Linked DNA regions of Coturnix japonica. The protein of the gene in region 4 interacts with the protein of the main gene of each other region in a biochemical or structural test. Links are inferred from orthologs where the notes say so. Each region holds a gene or a part of one and is shown on either strand. Other genes may lie near its edges.

Region 1 (4,318 bases), on a different chromosome or scaffold from region 4:
CTGTGCTGTGCTCCTCCTGGGTGTGCACAGGGACATCGGTGCTGCAGGGCATTGCATTCTGCTCGGTCAGCTGGATCAGAGGGAAGAAGAAAGGTAGGAAGGGATGGAAGATGAGGGAAGGGTGGCAGCAATAGCAGCGGGTTGGCCCTCAGGTGTGTGGTTTTGGGGTGAGGCAATAATGCAAGGTGTAGGCTTCATATTCCTGCAATGCAATGTGGCTCCCAGCAGGTTCCAGTTTGCAGGGCTGTGCTGTTGGGGCACAGAACCATTGCTGCTCCCCATGGACCGGCTGCTCTCACTGCTCAGGGTGGGCTCGGATAATCTGCCCTCCTAATTGCCACCCAGTGAGGAGGCAGCTGCTGAGCCAGCCCTTAAGCTGATTTGGGATGGCAAATTCTGTTAGTTTAATTCTCAGCAATGCTGAGGAACGTGCCAGCACGTGAGCATCACTTGGCTTGTCTCTGGCAACCTGAGCCAGCTGGTGAGGGCATGCAGTGCTCAGAGCTGGGACAGGTTGGGTTTGTAAGGGGGTATTTAACTGACCATTCCTTGAGCTCCTGTGTTTGCAGCCCCAACTTTGCTATTCCTTTTTAATGCTCCTTTCCAGAGCTGTGGAGCATTCACTGCCTGGTCTTGGTAACCCAGGCCTTAATAACACACAGGTTAAAGGTGAGCAATGATGAAGAATGCATTTCTGAAAGGATTCCTTTTGCAGTTCCTTCTGTGTTTGCCTTTGAACATAAAGGAAGTTTCCTGCCCCCCTGCCTTGCTGTGATTTCTCATCTCGCTCCATATTAAGCTTTGCTTGCAGTTGATGAGATCACTGCCCGTATTCCTTCGCCTGTCAAGCTCCTTGGAAGAGCTAAGTGCACAAAGGAGATGAAAAAGAAGCTGCTTATGAATTATGAAGAGCCTTTCAAGCTGCTGTTATTTCACGGGGCCGTCGCTCCGTTTTAATTGAGTAATTCAAATGGGGGCAAAAAACAACCAACCCCATCCCAACCTGTTTGTGTTTGATCACCTGTCGGAGGGAACACGAGGCTGGCTCATGTTTGTTGAGCTTTCAAGTAACACAAGCCACCCTTGCAGGTGGAATAATGGGGAAGGAAGGAGCTGAGCAGGAGCTGGGATGCAGCTGCTCCCCTTGTGCTTGCTTGGGGTGTGCAGCAGAGCGTGCAAACACAGCCTGCATCTCTCCAAGCACTGCAGAAATGCATGGCCCATAATGGCCACCAGCAGGTCTGTCAATCCATGGTTTATATGGGGAATTTTAGCCCATGTGAATGGAAGCATCAGTTCCCAGCTCTGTGATCCCAGGGGCTGTGGGGAACAGCCCTGAATCCATGCAGAGCTGGCAGGGTGAGCTGATGCTGGGGCTGCTGGGGGTGGGGGGATGCACACAGCATGCAGGACAGCTCAGCCCCTGGCACCAGAAGCCTTTTGGTTTTGCTCCTTTGTGATGTCATCTGTCACACAGGACAGAAGGCTGAGTGCCACCCAAGCACAGCTGTGTGGTCCCCAGCATCTGCTTTCCTCCTCTCAGCCAACCCAGGCTGCTATCAATAGGGTACGTTGTTTTCAGCCCTGGTTTTTATTCACCTGTCATTGCGGGGAAACGTCACATCAAGGCAGGAAGAGTTTGAGCTGCCAGGCTTCATTTGGGACATCAGCATTCCCAGCTGGAGGGCACAGTGTGTGGCCATAGCAGCAGGATGAGAGCTGTGCAGTGCCATTGTGATGGATGGTGATACATCCTGATGCTGCTGGTGGCCCTGCAGGGACTTTGGCATCAGATCCTGCTGGCTTTGACTCTGGGTTTGACTCTTAGGGGGCACCTTTAGGCTGAGGGACCTGACTGGGTTGTGTGTATGGAGTTAATGGTGCTGGTGGGCTGAGCTCGGATATCTGTGCCCCCATGGGAAGCCTGGGGCTGTTAATGGGGCTTGAGGGGCTGTTAACACCACAGTGGGCTGTTGCTGCTTAGATAGGGCCCCTGTTTGGTGGGGATAGTCCTGCTGGAAGGGGATAAGGCTCTTGGTAGGGCTGTGTGCTTTATCTCCTGCATGGTGCCCTGCTGACGTTGAGCTCTGCAGCTCTCCTTGTTGAGTTACTCATTCCCAACCCATTGCTTTGAGGCTGTTCTTACGGCCTTTTGGAACATCTTTTCCCTTTCACGGGAGGGATTTCCTCCTCCTCCACTTGAGAAGCAGAAGGTTTGTCATCTCAGATGTTGTTTGTAACTCATAGACGTGCAGTTTTCAACCCCCCTTAGAATAAGAAGCGCTTTGTGGATGAGCCCTTTGGTTTTGCTTCCTGGTTGCAGCAGGACGGATCCGAGCCACAACTATGTGCATCCCCCTCATGTTCTGATCCTGCTTTTAGCTGATGTGGGGGAGAATGGACTCCAGCATCCATCAGAGAGGCATAAAACGCCTTTATAGTGTTGAATATGACTGCGTGATGATACAGCCTGTGTATTTCCAACCCAGCTGGGAGAGCTTTGCAGCTAAGAGATAATGGTGCTGCTGGCTCACTTGGCCTCACCCTCTGGACTGCTTGGTGTCGTTTGTTTACCTCTCTGTTGTGCTGAAGCTTTATCAGCCCTGTTGTAATGCTTTTGCATCCCAGCCCTTGCAGGGAGAGCCTGCTTCCATCCTGCTGCCCTGCAGGCACAGCACGAAGCCATCCAGCCCCATTGGGAGATGCTGCTGCTCCCCAAAGTCCCTCTGTCCAAACAGTTGTGTGTCCTGCAGCTCTCAGGGGGCATCTGGGTGATTTAATCCTCGGCTCTTTGTGGCTTTAGGTGATGCTTTTTTCCTTGTAACCTAACGGGCAGCTCTTATCTCTGCAAAATTAATTAGGAGCCCATCCCCGCTCCTTCAGCTCCAGCCATGCATGGAGCTCAATGGGAGCAGGGCTGTCTGTGCCCAGCTGTGAGCAGAACAGCATTAAAGGATTTTTTTGCAGCTCATAGAGAGACAGTGAGACCGACGGGTTCCCTAAGAAGCAGCCAAACGTTTCCTGGTGTCAGAAAGCAGCAGTGAGAGCCAGCACTGCAGGCAGGCGGCTCCATGGCCTTTGCTGAATCACTGCTGGCTGCTGCCGTGCCAGGGCTGCACAGATGCTGAAATGCTGAGCTCGGAGGAGAAGTGGGACGTCTTGAGCTGAGCTGAGCTGAACCCTGTCCACAGAACGGGCAGATGAGCCCCAGGCTGGGAATGTGAGCTGGATGTGGAGCCAGGAGTCAGTGCTGGATGGTGGCCCAGGAAATTCTTGTCCAGAGGCAGGAAAGCACTAAATGTGACTTTCAAAGAGAGGTGCTGAGAGCTCCATTCCAAACACTGGGGCGGGGGGGGGGCAGGAGAGGAGGACGTGAGCATCATTGGAACCCAGCAGTGGGATGAGTGGATGGTCTGCATCTGGGTCAGCACACACAAAGGTGTGTGGGTGCTCAGTGAGCTGGGCTGGGAGGGCTGTCCTTGTCCAAGCTTTGTGGCTGTCAAAGGCAGCAGTGAAGTTGTACATTCATCTTCCTAAGGCTTAAAGAAGCTGGGCAGGAGCTCTGCTTACTGCCATTGGAGCTTCTCTTGCTCGGTTCCATATATCCTGTTTATTTCTTGCCAGCAAACAAAACCACGTGTGTTTGCTTCCTTGCTTGCAGTGACCCGAGCCTCACTGCTGCATCCATTTGCTCCTGACGGTCATGGCAAGCACACGATTACACTAATAGCCTGTTATTAATCACTGCCAGTGGCTGTAATTACATCAGCTATTAGGAAGTCAACTAAAATCCATGTCTGTCCAATCAGAAGGACAGGCATGGTGCCTGCAGCTTGTGTTTGTTGTTGGGTTCTCTTCCTTTAAGCACTTTTAAAAGCCCCCTGAGGTCCTGGTTTGGTGTGTTAGCACTTTGCACTGCTCAATGAGTGCGGGTGGAATGTGCTCCTGGTGAATGTGGGGGCACAGGATGCTCTGGGGAGTGTTTGAGCACAGCTATGTGAAACCCAATGGGCATCTGTGTATCCTGAGCATCCCTGCACACTGTGATGTGAAACCCAATGGGCATCTGTGTATCCTGAGCATCCCTGCACACTGTGATGTGATTTGGGGTCTCATCAAGGAAAGGAGATAAAGCAGCTCCCTTCTTGCTGTGGCTGAGGAGGCAGCGTGCATTTGTTGGCTCATTGCTGGCCAGAGGATGCTCCTGGGATGGAGCTGAGGTGGTTTGGAGCACACCAACAAGGCTCCAGGCTTTGCAATCATTGCTTTTGTTTCCTTCTTCAGGTAACTTGGCTGCAAGATGGCAGAACCACACCAG
Region 2 (4,367 bases), on a different chromosome or scaffold from region 4:
ACAATTAGTACACTCACTAATGTACTACAAGAATTCCCTACTTGCTAAGCCAAAGTTTCCTTGTAGATAAGCTGAAGTACATTTACATCTCACCTACAAATGCCATATCATAGAACAAATATAAACCCATTAGAAGGCATATTTCCAACAAAGTCACCCACGATATTTCAACTCATTGAAAATTCTAGGTAGAAGAAAATACCATGTGGAAAGCAAAAAATTTTGAATTTCTAGTCTCCAGCCTAAGCTTATAGACTATTGCTTTATCTGATTTTAAACTGAGCAAAGACTTTTAATGTTCTTCTGCCAATAAGTATTTTCAGTGTATGTCACTTTCAGAGTAATATTTTAGAATGTCTAAAAAAGTATTTTATTGCATAAAACTTTTGAATAATACCTCCTAAAGTACTAGAACCGTGTTTTCTGAAAGACACTGTAAGCCTTATCTATATTATTATGATCTAATATAAAGCAAGGATAGCTACCATACACTGTGGACAAGTAATACTCACCCTTCTGAAGATGCGTTATTGTTATCACAATTAAACATTCCCTGAACTCTCAATTTGATACAGACACTGGGGACAAACAAAGAATGACCTTTTAATTTTTACAAGTCACAAAGAACCGGAATGTGCCAAGCCCTAAAAATAATAATAATAAATTAAAAAATAATGGAAAAAAAGGGGGGTGGGGTAGGGGGAAAGAGGAAAAAGAGAAAAAGAGAGAAAGGACTTGTATATGAGGAAATCTCCGTTTAGAAGTTTATCGTGTACTAAAAATACCAGTAAAGTCTCGCTGAAGTACTGAACGGTTGGATCTGCAATTGCTCGACTTGCACAAAGACAAACCTATCCTGCAACAAATAAACAGACCAAACAAAAACAAAACCAAAAAACCAAACAGAGAAAAAAACCAAGGCCCTAGTTCCAATGAAATATACTGTTTCATAACTTTGAAAAAGTATCTTGAGCCAGGTACAGGTTCATTATACCATTTTTGCTACATTATGCTGAGACTGCTTTTCTTTCTGCCCATTCCTAATAATTTTTGGATGTTCGTACTTAACACCAGATACACATGCGTTGCGCTACAATACATTGATTTCATCACCTTTGTCTGATCACACACACGCCTGTTGCTCCAGCACAACTCCGTCCCTTTCACACCTCCCCAAACATGCCGATTTCAGAGATCGCCCCACACACCCGCGCTTTGCGACATTAGGTCTCCAACTCAGCAGTTCCAGCTCCCTCCGAACTCTGGAGGGCCGGTTAGCCGAGCAGCGCCCTTCCCGACGAGGAAGTTGGCCGGACAGATTGACTCCCGCGCCGTCCCCGCTCTCCCGCACTCGGTGCCCGTGAAACTCGCCGGGGGCTGGAGAGCCCCGTCGCAGACTGGCCGGCGGGACGGCAACGTGCGAGGGCGAGAGTGGGAACGCTCCGCTTCCGGGACACCGCGGGCACATGGGGCTGCCGCGGACCTACTCGCACCCCAGGGCGGGGGCTACCGCCGCGTAACAACTTCTGCACCGTGCTTCTCTCTCGGAGGGGGCTGAGGCGGACAGAACGGACTTGTCTTCGCGTTTCGGACTCACCGAGACCTCACCTTGCGTACGTTTAACACACGGATCCCCCCGCCGACCCCTCAGCGAAACCGTGCCAGAGGCAGCCGCCACCACAGGAGGCCGGCAGGAACGGGGAGGAGAGGAAACAGCCGGCTCCTACCCGCTCTTTCTCCCGCACGGCGCCAGTCGCCCCCCCCGCCCAAGGCTCCGCTCCGCCGAGCGCGGCGCGGCCAGGATGGACAGAGCCAACTCAGACAAAAGGCACCGTCGGCTCCGCGCCGCTCCCTCCGCTGTCAACGGCTGCAGAGCGGGCGCGAATCTCGCTGCCGCCCCCCACCCCATCCCGTTCCTTCAAGCGCGACGCGGCGCGCTGCTCGGGACCGAGGCGGTCGCGCCCTCCCTGTCTGCCTCCCCACCCCCCATAACAAAGGGAGTCGGTTATAAATAACTGCTCCCGGCCCGCAGCCCGTACGGTGGTTGTGGTGCTGCTGCCGCTGCCGTCCAGCTCACCCGTCCCCTCGCTCCAATCTCGTGCCACCGCCACCACAGCCGCTTCGCTCCCCGACTCTTCTTCCCTCCTGCCTCCGGCTGCCGGATTCACCCTCCCGGACCGAGCGCCAAATACAGTGGCCCAATCGGTAACACGTTCATTGGCGAGAGCCGAGCGCCGCCCCGATTGGACGGACGCGGACGGAGCGCCCCGAGCCAATCAGGGGCGGAGAGGGGCGGGGAGAGGGGCGGGGTCCGTGCCCCACGTGCTGGCGGGAAGGAGGGGTGGGGGAGCTCTTTGTTCTCGCGCTGCCGCCCGGGCTGGCGGTTTTGTGCCCTCTTTGCCCGTCCGTGTAGCTGAGCGGGCAGCGGGTCTGGAGTTTGAGGTGCTCCGGCCGCCGCCTCACGGGGACTGGGGAGGGGAGGGAGGCGAGGGGTCCGACGGGAGCGGGGAGGGGCCTCGCGTCTCAGTGCTGCTGAGTTTGAATCAGTTCGAAAGTGGGAGCTGTAACGGTTTTAACAGTCGTGCTGCTGCTTCCGCGCGCTGCAGAGAGGGGAGGGGACGGGACGGGACGGGACGGGACAGGACGGAGAACTGGGAGAGGCGCGTCTGCGACCAGGCGGGAAGATCCAGGCGGGGACTGGGGGTGTTGTTGGCAGGAGCTGCTTACCTCAGCACGGCCCGCTCCCTGCCCGTCGCTTCCGCGGCGGGCTCTCTCCTTCCCGGCATTGCGCCGTGCCGAGCGTTGGCTGGCTGAGTCACTAACCAGAGTACGTGATGCATCCTCCTGCCGTGTCATCTGACCTTTGCGCACCCAAACCTAGCACGTATCTGTCCTTTTGTTTCACGCTGTTGCTCACGAATTTTGGTGCCTTGCTGTTCTGTAACCAGCATGGATTCTTAACTGTCAAAATCCCATTGTGTCCCATCTTGGCAGTGATGGTAAATCACAGCAACAGCAAGGTGTCCATTCTGCATAAGGCTGGGATCCTGTTGCTAGTGATACACTGTCTCTAGCCTAAGGTTGCTACCATTTTCCCTCGTTTTTATTCTACGACTCAGTCACGTTGACAAGGAGGTACTTTAAACCTCAAGGATTCATTCCCCCTTAGCCTTCTTTTGTCTCACTGTTTGGCCACTGCAGCCCTTCTTTGTTGACTGGAAAAACAAAATTGCCAAGATAAGATCATGGTGGGAAACTTCCATGTATGCTTGTCACCATCTCTCCTTCCTAAGCCTCCTGTGTTCAGCACTACTTCTGAGGTAGAATGGATTGTGAGCCTTGTACCCTTACTGTCTGTTACCAGTGTTTCTCACCTTCCCTTGCAAATCACTTCTGATACATTCAACTACCTTGTCTCATCTTTGTGTGAAGCCCAAAAATTAGCACTGTCCACCATAATGAGGTTCTGAATGATAAAAATCCTATGAGAGAAGATCATTGACACAGCTTCATGCCCAAATCTTTCAGCTGCATTATAGGCCAAACAAGGATCAGAGTTCTTTTAATGTGGAACAGAAATTATTTCCTCTTATGTTTGCATGTCACGAAACGATATATTGTCATACTCTTTCTTTGATTCTACTAGAGTAGATGACCTTTTCCAAGATTACGTTAAAACTATCAACTTTGCAAAATGTCAGTCATTTCTTGAAATTCAGCTATTTAAATCTATTCTGCTCCAAGATGGCTGGCACCACCAAAATGGCTACCCAGTCTCTTCACAGCTTGGAACTTGTAGTTTTTTTATTGTTAGAATTGCACTTCATGAGATCTTATCTTAGTCTATATATATATATATATATATATATACAACTCCTGTGCTAAATAAGCATAGCGTAACTTTAAGCAAGCACTATAGTCAGTCACAAGGTGAAAAAAAGATGTGTGGAGACAACACTGAACTCAATTGCAGTACACGCTTCAGTTTTTGTCTTGCACAGAAAGTTATTCACCTGCTGTACGTGAAGCTAATGCTTACTAGAAAATAAAACACATTTTGAATGGAACTACTCTTTCTGTTTTGCACTCTGTGAAAACAATCTTTCCATGCTGCATTTCAGTTCTAGAAGTGATGAATCCTCAGTGAGGATCTCCACGAAGTGTCAATTTTCTGATCATATGGGCTATTTAAAATAACCTGGAGAATTCTGGCAGCTTGTTTCTTTTTTTCTGCACGTGGATGCTTAATGTTGTAATGAGCTGCTTATAGACTTTCTGTTTTCATGGAGTAAACCACCCAAACATTTTTCTGTTCTGCTGCATTTTCATGATTAAAGAATGCCTGAACACCAATCTGCATTATGAAG
Region 3 (4,097 bases), on a different chromosome or scaffold from region 4:
CTTCCGTCAGGGGTGGAGAACACAGTGGGGTGATGGCCTTCACGTGGGCATCGGCTGAGTGTTCTCCACCCTGCTGCCTGAACACGGCACCAAAAACAGGACCAAAACTGGACTCCGGAGGTAACACAAGAATAACTTGTACGCACAATTCACAGCCCAGTTAGGAGGCGCGCTATTGCTCCACTGCGACAAGCAGAGCTACCTGCAGGTGGGATTAGGCAGCAGATCGGGCGAACGTGACACAAACTCAGCGTATGGAGTAGTGAAATCACCCATGTTGCTTAAATCCAAGAGGATACACGGGCGGACATGCAACGACACTGTACCACCGTCCCCGCTCCCCCCGGCGGAGGGGCGCAGGGGCCCGGCCGCGCTCCGCTCCCGTCTCCCCGCCCTGTGTGGGAGGCCCCGCTGGGCCCCGCCCGTGGGCGGGCGCTGCGTTGCGTTGGGTTAGGTTGCGGCTGTGTGCGCGCGGCTATAACTTTGTGTTGTGGCGAGGAGGAGGAGGGACGTGCCAACTGGCGGCCGGCAGGGCCACGGGCAGCTGGGGCGGGCTGCGGCAGCCGGGCCGCTCGCCTCGCCGCCTCCCCCCGCGTCGCCTTTAAAGGGAAGGCTCCGCCGAGCCCCGGGCGCAGAGCGGGCGGAGCGGAGCCGCGCAGCGGCAGGAGCGGCTGTATCGCCAACACCAGCACCGCCGCTGCCGGGCGCTGGGCTTCGCCTTTCCGCTGGCCTGGGGGCGGTCGTCGGCTCTGTCCCCACCGCTCCCCGGCCGCGGTTTTTCGGTGACTGGAGCGGAGGGAACTGTCAAGATGGCAGCGGCAGGAGCACGGAGGTTATGAGCGCCGAGGTTACGAGCGCGGCGGTGCTGCTGGAACAAAACCCATTCGCTTCGGCAGCCCGAGGGAGGGCTTAAAGCTCCCGGACCTGTTGGAGGAGCGCCGATCCGTCCCTCTCGTGCTCGCTTTTTCCCCCGTGAGAGAAAGGATTTCTATCGTTATTATTACGTTGTGGGTTTTTTGTGGTGTTGTTATTTTTTTTTTCCTTTCTTCTGGCGAGGAGGTGCCGCTGTGTTTGGGGGCAAGGCGAAGTGACGGCGATCAGCGCGCAGGGATCCACGCTCCCCTCGGGGCGTCCCGAAGAAGGACGGACTCCTCGGTGCCTCCCCGGGACGAGCGCAGGACCCCCCGAGGAAGGGAAGGTGCTCGCCGGCCCCCACGGCCAGGTACGGCGCGGACGCAGCCGGAGAGCCCGCATGGAGTGAAGAAACATAAACAAACGCACACTCGCGGCGCCGAGCGCACCCCGGCACCGCGCTCCGGCGCTCCGCCCGATTGAATCGCGTTTTTCGCTCTCCGTTCGTTGTTTTCGCCGGCTTCGCCCGTTCGCTCCGTGCCCGCGGGGAGCGGCATGCCCGCCCGCTAGGCTCCCGGCGGCACCGAGCAGGCGGCGGCGGAGGAGGAGCGGGGCCGGCGGCCGCCCGCCCCGTCGCAGCGCCCCGCCGCCGCCGCAGCCGCCCCCGAGGGAGGCCGAGATGGCAGAGGCGTCGCCCCCCGGGCCGCTCTCGCCCCTGGACGTGGAGCTGGACCCCGAGTTCGAGCCGCAGAGCCGCCCCCGCTCCTGCACCTGGCCGCTGCAGAGGCCCGAACTGCAGGCCAGCCCCGCCAAGCCCGCCGGCGAGCCGGCCGCCGACGCCGCCTCCATGATCCCCGAGGAGGAGGACGACGACGAGGAGGGGGGCGGCGCGGCCATGGCCGTCGGCGGCGCGGCCCCCGTGGGAGGCGAAGCGGCGGCCGCCGGCGGCCCCGAGGAGGCGGCGCGGCCGCCGGTCCCCGTGCCCGGAGGCGGCCCGGAGGGGCCCGGGCCGGCGCCGGGAGGAGCGGCCACGGCGGCGGGCGGCGGGGGGCTGAGCGGCGGCGGCCCCGCGGCGGCGGCGCCGAGGAAGTGCTCGTCGCGGCGCAACGCGTGGGGCAACCTCTCGTACGCCGACCTCATCACCCACGCCATCGAGAGCTCCCCCGAGAAGCGGCTCACCCTGTCGCAGATCTACGACTGGATGGTGCGGTGCGTGCCCTACTTCAAGGATAAGGGCGACAGCAACAGCTCGGCCGGATGGAAGGTGAGGGGACGGGCTGCCGGCTGACCGCAGCGTAGGGGACGAGGATGGGAAGGGATGGGACTTTCGCCGCTCGGCCGCCGGCTGGTGCAGGGGGACGAGCAGGGAAGGCAGGAGACGGTGTTCTTAAAGGCTTTTTATTTTGTACAAGTTGTAGGGACCTTGTAACTCGCAACAGAAATAAGCGGAGTTGCTCTCGTGCGGTGCCAGCCCAAAGCTCACATGTAGATTGACTTGCGTTTTCCTCCAGCAACTGCCAGCTCTGCCGTTCCTAAAGGTGGTGGAGAGAAGCCCAAAGCTCCGTTTTCATATGGAGATGACAGGGTTTGCGAGAGTGATGGCTTGGTGCTGCCAGCCTGTGTGCCCCTCACTTACCCCATCCATCTATCGTGCCCGTTGGGGTGATAGCAGCTTACAGCACGGCAGGCTGCGCTGAGGTCGCTACTGTGTTGCTGACGGACCCAGCCTGGCAGAGAGAGGCCCTGCACCCATACAACCCGGCAATGCTTACCCAGTGTAAATGGGGTGTGAGGTGGGCACTGCCTGACCCACTTGCTTTGGGCTTGTTCCCATGGCCGGCTGTCGGCCCTTTGGAGCTGACATGCGGCCATACAGATCTGTGGGTGCTGCTGCAGAACGTTACTGGGGTGTGTGGGGCATCGCAGCTGCTGCTAAGGGATGGGGCTGTTGAGGGCATGTGTGCAGGAAGTTTCCTTGTGCTACAGGGAGGTTTGGTTTCTACTTCGATTCTCCCTGCCTTGCATCAGGGTTAACCTGTGCGTGAACCAGTCAGGAATACTGCGGGTTGAAGCAGCTCTGGCTGCATTGTTGGCAGCTCTGCCTCACCCCGTAGTTCTGGAGTAGGACTGACGTGCTGCTAGGTTCCAAGTGGAGTGCTGTGGGGGAAGCGTTGGGATGCCATACCTCAGGCTCAGGAAAACAGGAGCACAAAGTTTATTGGGGCATAGCTAATGTGGGGCAGGGCTCTGAAACCCACGTACTCTGCAGTGTTGGAGCTGAGCTGCACCGGCTGTTGTGTGAGGGTGATCATGGAGTATGGCAAAGGGTTAAATTCTCATGGTGCCAGCCTCGGCTCAGTAGGTACTGCACACTGAGCCGAGGCTCTCGCTGCCAGCTGCTGTGGCAAACGCTGCTCCTTTATCAGCTGTGTTGAATTTTCAGTGAACTCCCTATCACTGTTCCAAAGGGCAGGCAGCAGGGCTGTGCTGCTTGAGCTGAATGTGGTGGCAGAGCTCCCCATTGCCTCAGCAGCAGGACCCGGCCCATAGCACCAAGTGCTCGCATTGATCAGCGTGCTTAATACAGTCACTATTTTTTCTGACAACTTAGCCTGTTAATTTGATATTGATTCCTTTCCTGAGCAGCATTAGCTGGTACTTGGAGCTAATTACAGTGTTAAAAACTTGGATCCCTTGGGATTTCTTTCATACGGTTTAGCTCAGAAGCCCCTCTGCAGCCTTTAGGGTGACCTTTATCGGCACAGAAGCATGTTGGGCCGTGCTCAGGCAGTGAGATGCAGGGTTAAGGGAGGCCAGGAGCTGACCACGGGCTGCCGAGCAGAGCAGGGGCCACTTCAGTCCCTGTGTATGTATTAGGAAGAGGGATATTTCAGCTACTTTGAAAGTAAGTGAGTTTGTACAGAGGCACTACTCTTAAACAGGGACTCCATCTTAGCCTCCCGGTGCTCACGCACATTATATGTTATCATCTCTGTTTCCTTCTCAGGTAGTGAACACAACTCTTCAGGAGGTAAGGTCAGCATCTCACACCGGGCTTTTTTTCAGGTTTTAACCTAAGATTTTAAGTGAACAGAAAAATAACTCTGTATCAGACGGACTTCATCTTAATTTCACATAACCAGGTTTATTTTAGAAGGCTGCAGGCACACTTAACAATATTCTTCTCCAGCCTTGAGGGGGGAAAAGTGTCGTTTTAAATAAAGGGAAGCCGATACCTTGTTTTG
Region 4 (3,591 bases):
AGAAATGCCCAGGGGAGGGGAAAAAATGAATGTGCTGAACCTCTTCTGCTGTGAGAACTGGAAGAAGCTTACCCCTGATGTGAGGGCCTTCAGTATTGCAGCCAGTGTGCAAGTCCCACAGGAGGGAGGAAGGGAAGTATTTCATATTGGCTGCCATTTTACAGCCTTGCAGTGGGTCAGGTGTTAGGAGGGGAGTTCTGGCTCATAGGGCTGAATGTGGGTTAGTCATTTGGTGTGTGTGTGTGGGTGGTCTTTTGTGATGTGCAGAGTAGCCCTTTGAGTAGGAGCAGGTTAATACAGGGATGATTGTGATGTTCAGTTTGTTGCCTGTGAAGTAACAGACCGATGGGCTTTTCACCTCTTCCCAAAGTGGCTCCTTGATGATGTGTGTGTGTGTGTATATACATACTGTTCTAAATGGGATCTCATTTAAAAAAAAAAACAAAAACACACACACACACACACACACACACACACATATATATATATATATGTATATATATGTTTTAATGAGATCCCACTTGGAACAGTTTGTGATGAATAAGTGAAAATTCAGCAGCTGGCTCTGTAATGTGAGAACAGTCCTCAGCCTTTGGGCTTTCAAAGGTTCTGCTTACTTACCATGGATGTAATGAGAGGGGGGAGGGTGGAAGAAGGAAGAGAAGAGGAAAGTTGACATAACGTGCACACTTTCTTCTCTTCCCCATCTTGCTCATCTACAGTGCTCTCCTTTGTCTCCTTTGACCTTTGTTTTCAAGGAGGATCTTCTGAAAACACTCTGTGCTAATAGATTCAGCTGTGTAATGCGAGAACATGAAATTTGCTGGTGTTAATTTTGCCTCTTGAGTTCATTCCCAATGTAGGAATGCCTTCTAAAGCCTTCTCCTTACCCCTGTACAGGTGCTGGAAGATAATGACTATGGTCGTGCAGTGGACTGGTGGGGATTAGGAGTTGTAATGTATGAAATGATGTGTGGCCGGCTCCCTTTCTACAATCAGGACCATGAAAAGCTCTTTGAACTCATCCTTATGGAAGAGATTAGATTTCCACGCACTTTGTCACCTGAAGCAAAATCTCTCTTGTCAGGCTTGCTGAAGAAAGATCCTAAGCAGAGGTGAGACTGTTTCTTAATATTTGTGTTTTTAAACACTTGTGCACTCAGAAGTAGCATAATAAGTCAAGGAAAAATGTATTTTAAGGCCTTCACAAGAAAAGTTAATAACTTTGCTACATAGAGGTATGTCTGTGAAAGGGAGCTGTTTTTTTAGGCAAGTGACTTTAAGTGGCTCTTCCTGTGCTGCCATTTAAATGATCCATATCTCCACCATTGAGAAGCAATTGAAGAGGATTCTGCCCAAGGGGATACTGAATGCACTCATGCCAGTATTTCTGTATTTCAAAATGAGGAAGGCATTTTGGATGAAATTCTGGATTTGTTTTTAACTGGCACAAAATTATCATCCACCAAGTAGAGCTGAGGGATGTAGCGCACAGACCTATTTGGTTTCAGCTTAACTTTTGACTCAAGCTGGCTTGCAGGTGGCAACGTGAAGCAGTTTTGTTGATCAGAAGCTTGACCTTCAGAATATGGTGGCTGCCAACTATGGCCTGGGACAAAGCAAGTTAACCTTGCTTTTGGTCATAATTAATCTGATCGTTGCTGTGAGTTATCAGCTGCTCTGCAGTAATTCTTTTACCATCTATCCAAGTTTGGGCTGCTTACAGTAAGCTTTCTGAATTTTCTGTTCAGTCAGTGCCAGTGATCTGTCATCCTGCTTTGGACAGCAGGTGGTGGTGTTAGTACCATGTTTATGGTGGAATTCATACTGTGCTTTAATCTACTTTTCCCATTTCCTCCTTTTGTTTTGAAAAAGTAACCTCTGTCTTAATACCAAACAAAAACAACGTCAGCAAAAAAAAGAAAACCTCAAATCCTTAATGGCTAACAAACAAAATGTAACAAAAAATAGAACAGGATCCAAAAAGGATGTTGACCTTTGCACTAAGGGTAAACATCAGTCTGAAAACCTGCTATCTTGTCAGCCCAGACACTTTTTAAACAAACGAAGATAGTGACTCTGAACCTTCCCACCATAAAAGAACTCAAGCTAGGAAACCTTTCACATGAGGTGTAGGTAACAAGTATCCCAGTTTTTGTGATGTTTGTTTAGTTGGTGCGTACACACACACTTAACGTGAAAATGGTTTTTGCCAGTATTGGATTTCTTGGAGCAGGGATTTTTGTCACAGGAGTGGACTGCTTCCATCACTGCTTTCAATTGTGTGATGGATTAGCAACCCCCTGGGTACTCCACACAGCAAATGTGGCTGCAGCCCCTGCCAACGGGATTCCTGTCTAGAAAAGCCCTGGGTTAAATACAGTTGTGACCCTCTTGTAGCTTATTCAGGTGGTGCCTTTCAATCTCTGGAAACACAAGTAGCATCTGCTGTAATTTGTTCTTAAAGGAGCATCTCTGATGAACCAAAATACAGTTTGTTTACAAACAAAGAACGCCCACTTGTTTCTGATTGCAAGGTTTCTCCAATGCCAATAATTACTCCACAGCATGCTCATTTTATACAAATAGCCACTTCTTCACATGTATCTTCAGCAGGCTTGGAACCACTGATGCTCTGATGTGTTGGACAGATGATTTTCCTGCTGCTGATAGAAATAACTATAGAGTAGAGAAGCCTGCACCTTGCTAATTACACCGTGCCTCCCCAAGCTTTTTGGATCGTGGACCATTCTTAAATACTGGTTTCTCCCCAATCACTGTACATTCAGCTTTTGAATTGCAGTTGGGATTCTGCAATGCAGTGCACTGGGTGGCGTTTCAGGCAGCAGGGAGAGGTGAGCTGGGGGCACTGGGAGGTGGCAGTCCTGAGTCCTGCCCTGCCCTTGTTATGGGTTTTACTGTCAGCTGTTCACACGGTGTGGTCTGTGTTGGGGTGGGCGCCTGACAGATGTGGTGATTGACTCATTATGAGGTCATTCAGCCACGTTAAAGGAAAACACCCAGATAGCCTCAAAGTACAGTCAGTTGAAATTACGTCATGCCCAGCAGTCCATTCCACATTAGCCTATCAATGATGTTTGGGGGAATTCGTGTAATTCAACAGAAATCCCCTCCTTAGCAAAGCCCAGTGGTTGGCAAAGTTGGCTTCATTGTAGGGTCTGTGGCAGAAAGCATCATCACTTGCATTTAGTTACTGCTAGTGGGCTTGAGAGTGGGACAGAGATGAGCAAAAGGAAAATGAAACAGGGACGTATTCTCCTTTCCAGTAAAATCCCTCTCACCTCAACCCCCAAAAAAGTTGAAATAATGAAACTCACTGTAAGTTGGTAATGAATTGTGACCGGAGTTGGTGAATTAAATCTTACAAATTACCTGTTGTACGTGAGCTGGAAATAGAGGAGCAGTGTTAGCGTTCTGCTTTTGGTAATAGCAACTCCCAGGCATATGGGGAAAATATGAAGAACAGTAAATTGCATTCTGCTTTTAATAATAGCTGTTTTCTAAATTTGGTCATATAAAATCCATTTTGTAAGAGAAAAGGAATTTTGAAGTTTCTTTTGGGATTGATAT

Evidence for each region. The genes of interacting proteins can lie anywhere in the genome.
Region 1: of the proteins of AKT1 (region 4) and MAPT, one has a biochemical effect on the other in vitro, tested with the Homo sapiens proteins (3 studies listed by BioGRID and IntAct). The link is inferred for Coturnix japonica from reciprocal best matches to the Homo sapiens genes AKT1 and MAPT.
Region 2: of the proteins of AKT1 (region 4) and EZH2, one has a biochemical effect on the other in vitro, tested with the Homo sapiens proteins (2 studies listed by BioGRID). The link is inferred for Coturnix japonica from reciprocal best matches to the Homo sapiens genes AKT1 and EZH2.
Region 3: of the proteins of AKT1 (region 4) and FOXO3, one has a biochemical effect on the other in vitro, tested with the Homo sapiens proteins (2 studies listed by BioGRID and IntAct). The link is inferred for Coturnix japonica from reciprocal best matches to the Homo sapiens genes AKT1 and FOXO3.

Annotation. Positions count from the first base shown.
Region 1 is NC_029542.1:2,390,794-2,395,111, reverse strand, and holds the start of MAPT (microtubule-associated protein tau), read left to right. Parts: upstream 1-1,482; 5' UTR 1,483-1,567; intron 1,568-4,284; 5' UTR 4,285-4,300; coding exon 4,301-4,318. UniProt on the Homo sapiens protein: Promotes microtubule assembly and stability, and might be involved in the establishment and maintenance of neuronal polarity.
Region 2 is NC_029517.1:75,450,790-75,455,156, forward strand, and holds the start of EZH2 (histone-lysine N-methyltransferase EZH2), read right to left. Parts: upstream 2,837-4,367; 5' UTR 2,787-2,836; coding exon 2,728-2,786; intron 2,252-2,727; exon of another isoform or gene 2,040-2,251; intron 1-2,039. UniProt on the Homo sapiens protein: Polycomb group (PcG) protein. Catalytic subunit of the PRC2/EED-EZH2 complex, which methylates 'Lys-9' (H3K9me) and 'Lys-27' (H3K27me) of histone H3, leading to transcriptional repression of the affected target gene.
Region 3 is NC_029518.1:61,257,951-61,262,047, reverse strand, and holds the start of FOXO3 (forkhead box protein O3), read left to right. Parts: upstream 1-1,261; 5' UTR 1,262-1,531; coding exon 1,532-2,116; intron 2,117-4,097. UniProt on the Homo sapiens protein: Transcriptional activator that recognizes and binds to the DNA sequence 5'-[AG]TAAA[TC]A-3' and regulates different processes, such as apoptosis and autophagy.
Region 4 is NC_029520.1:46,930,086-46,933,676, reverse strand, and holds part of AKT1 (RAC-alpha serine/threonine-protein kinase), read left to right. Parts: intron 1-900; coding exon 901-1,115; intron 1,116-3,591. UniProt on the Homo sapiens protein: AKT1 is one of 3 closely related serine/threonine-protein kinases (AKT1, AKT2 and AKT3) called the AKT kinase, and which regulate many processes including metabolism, proliferation, cell survival, growth and angiogenesis.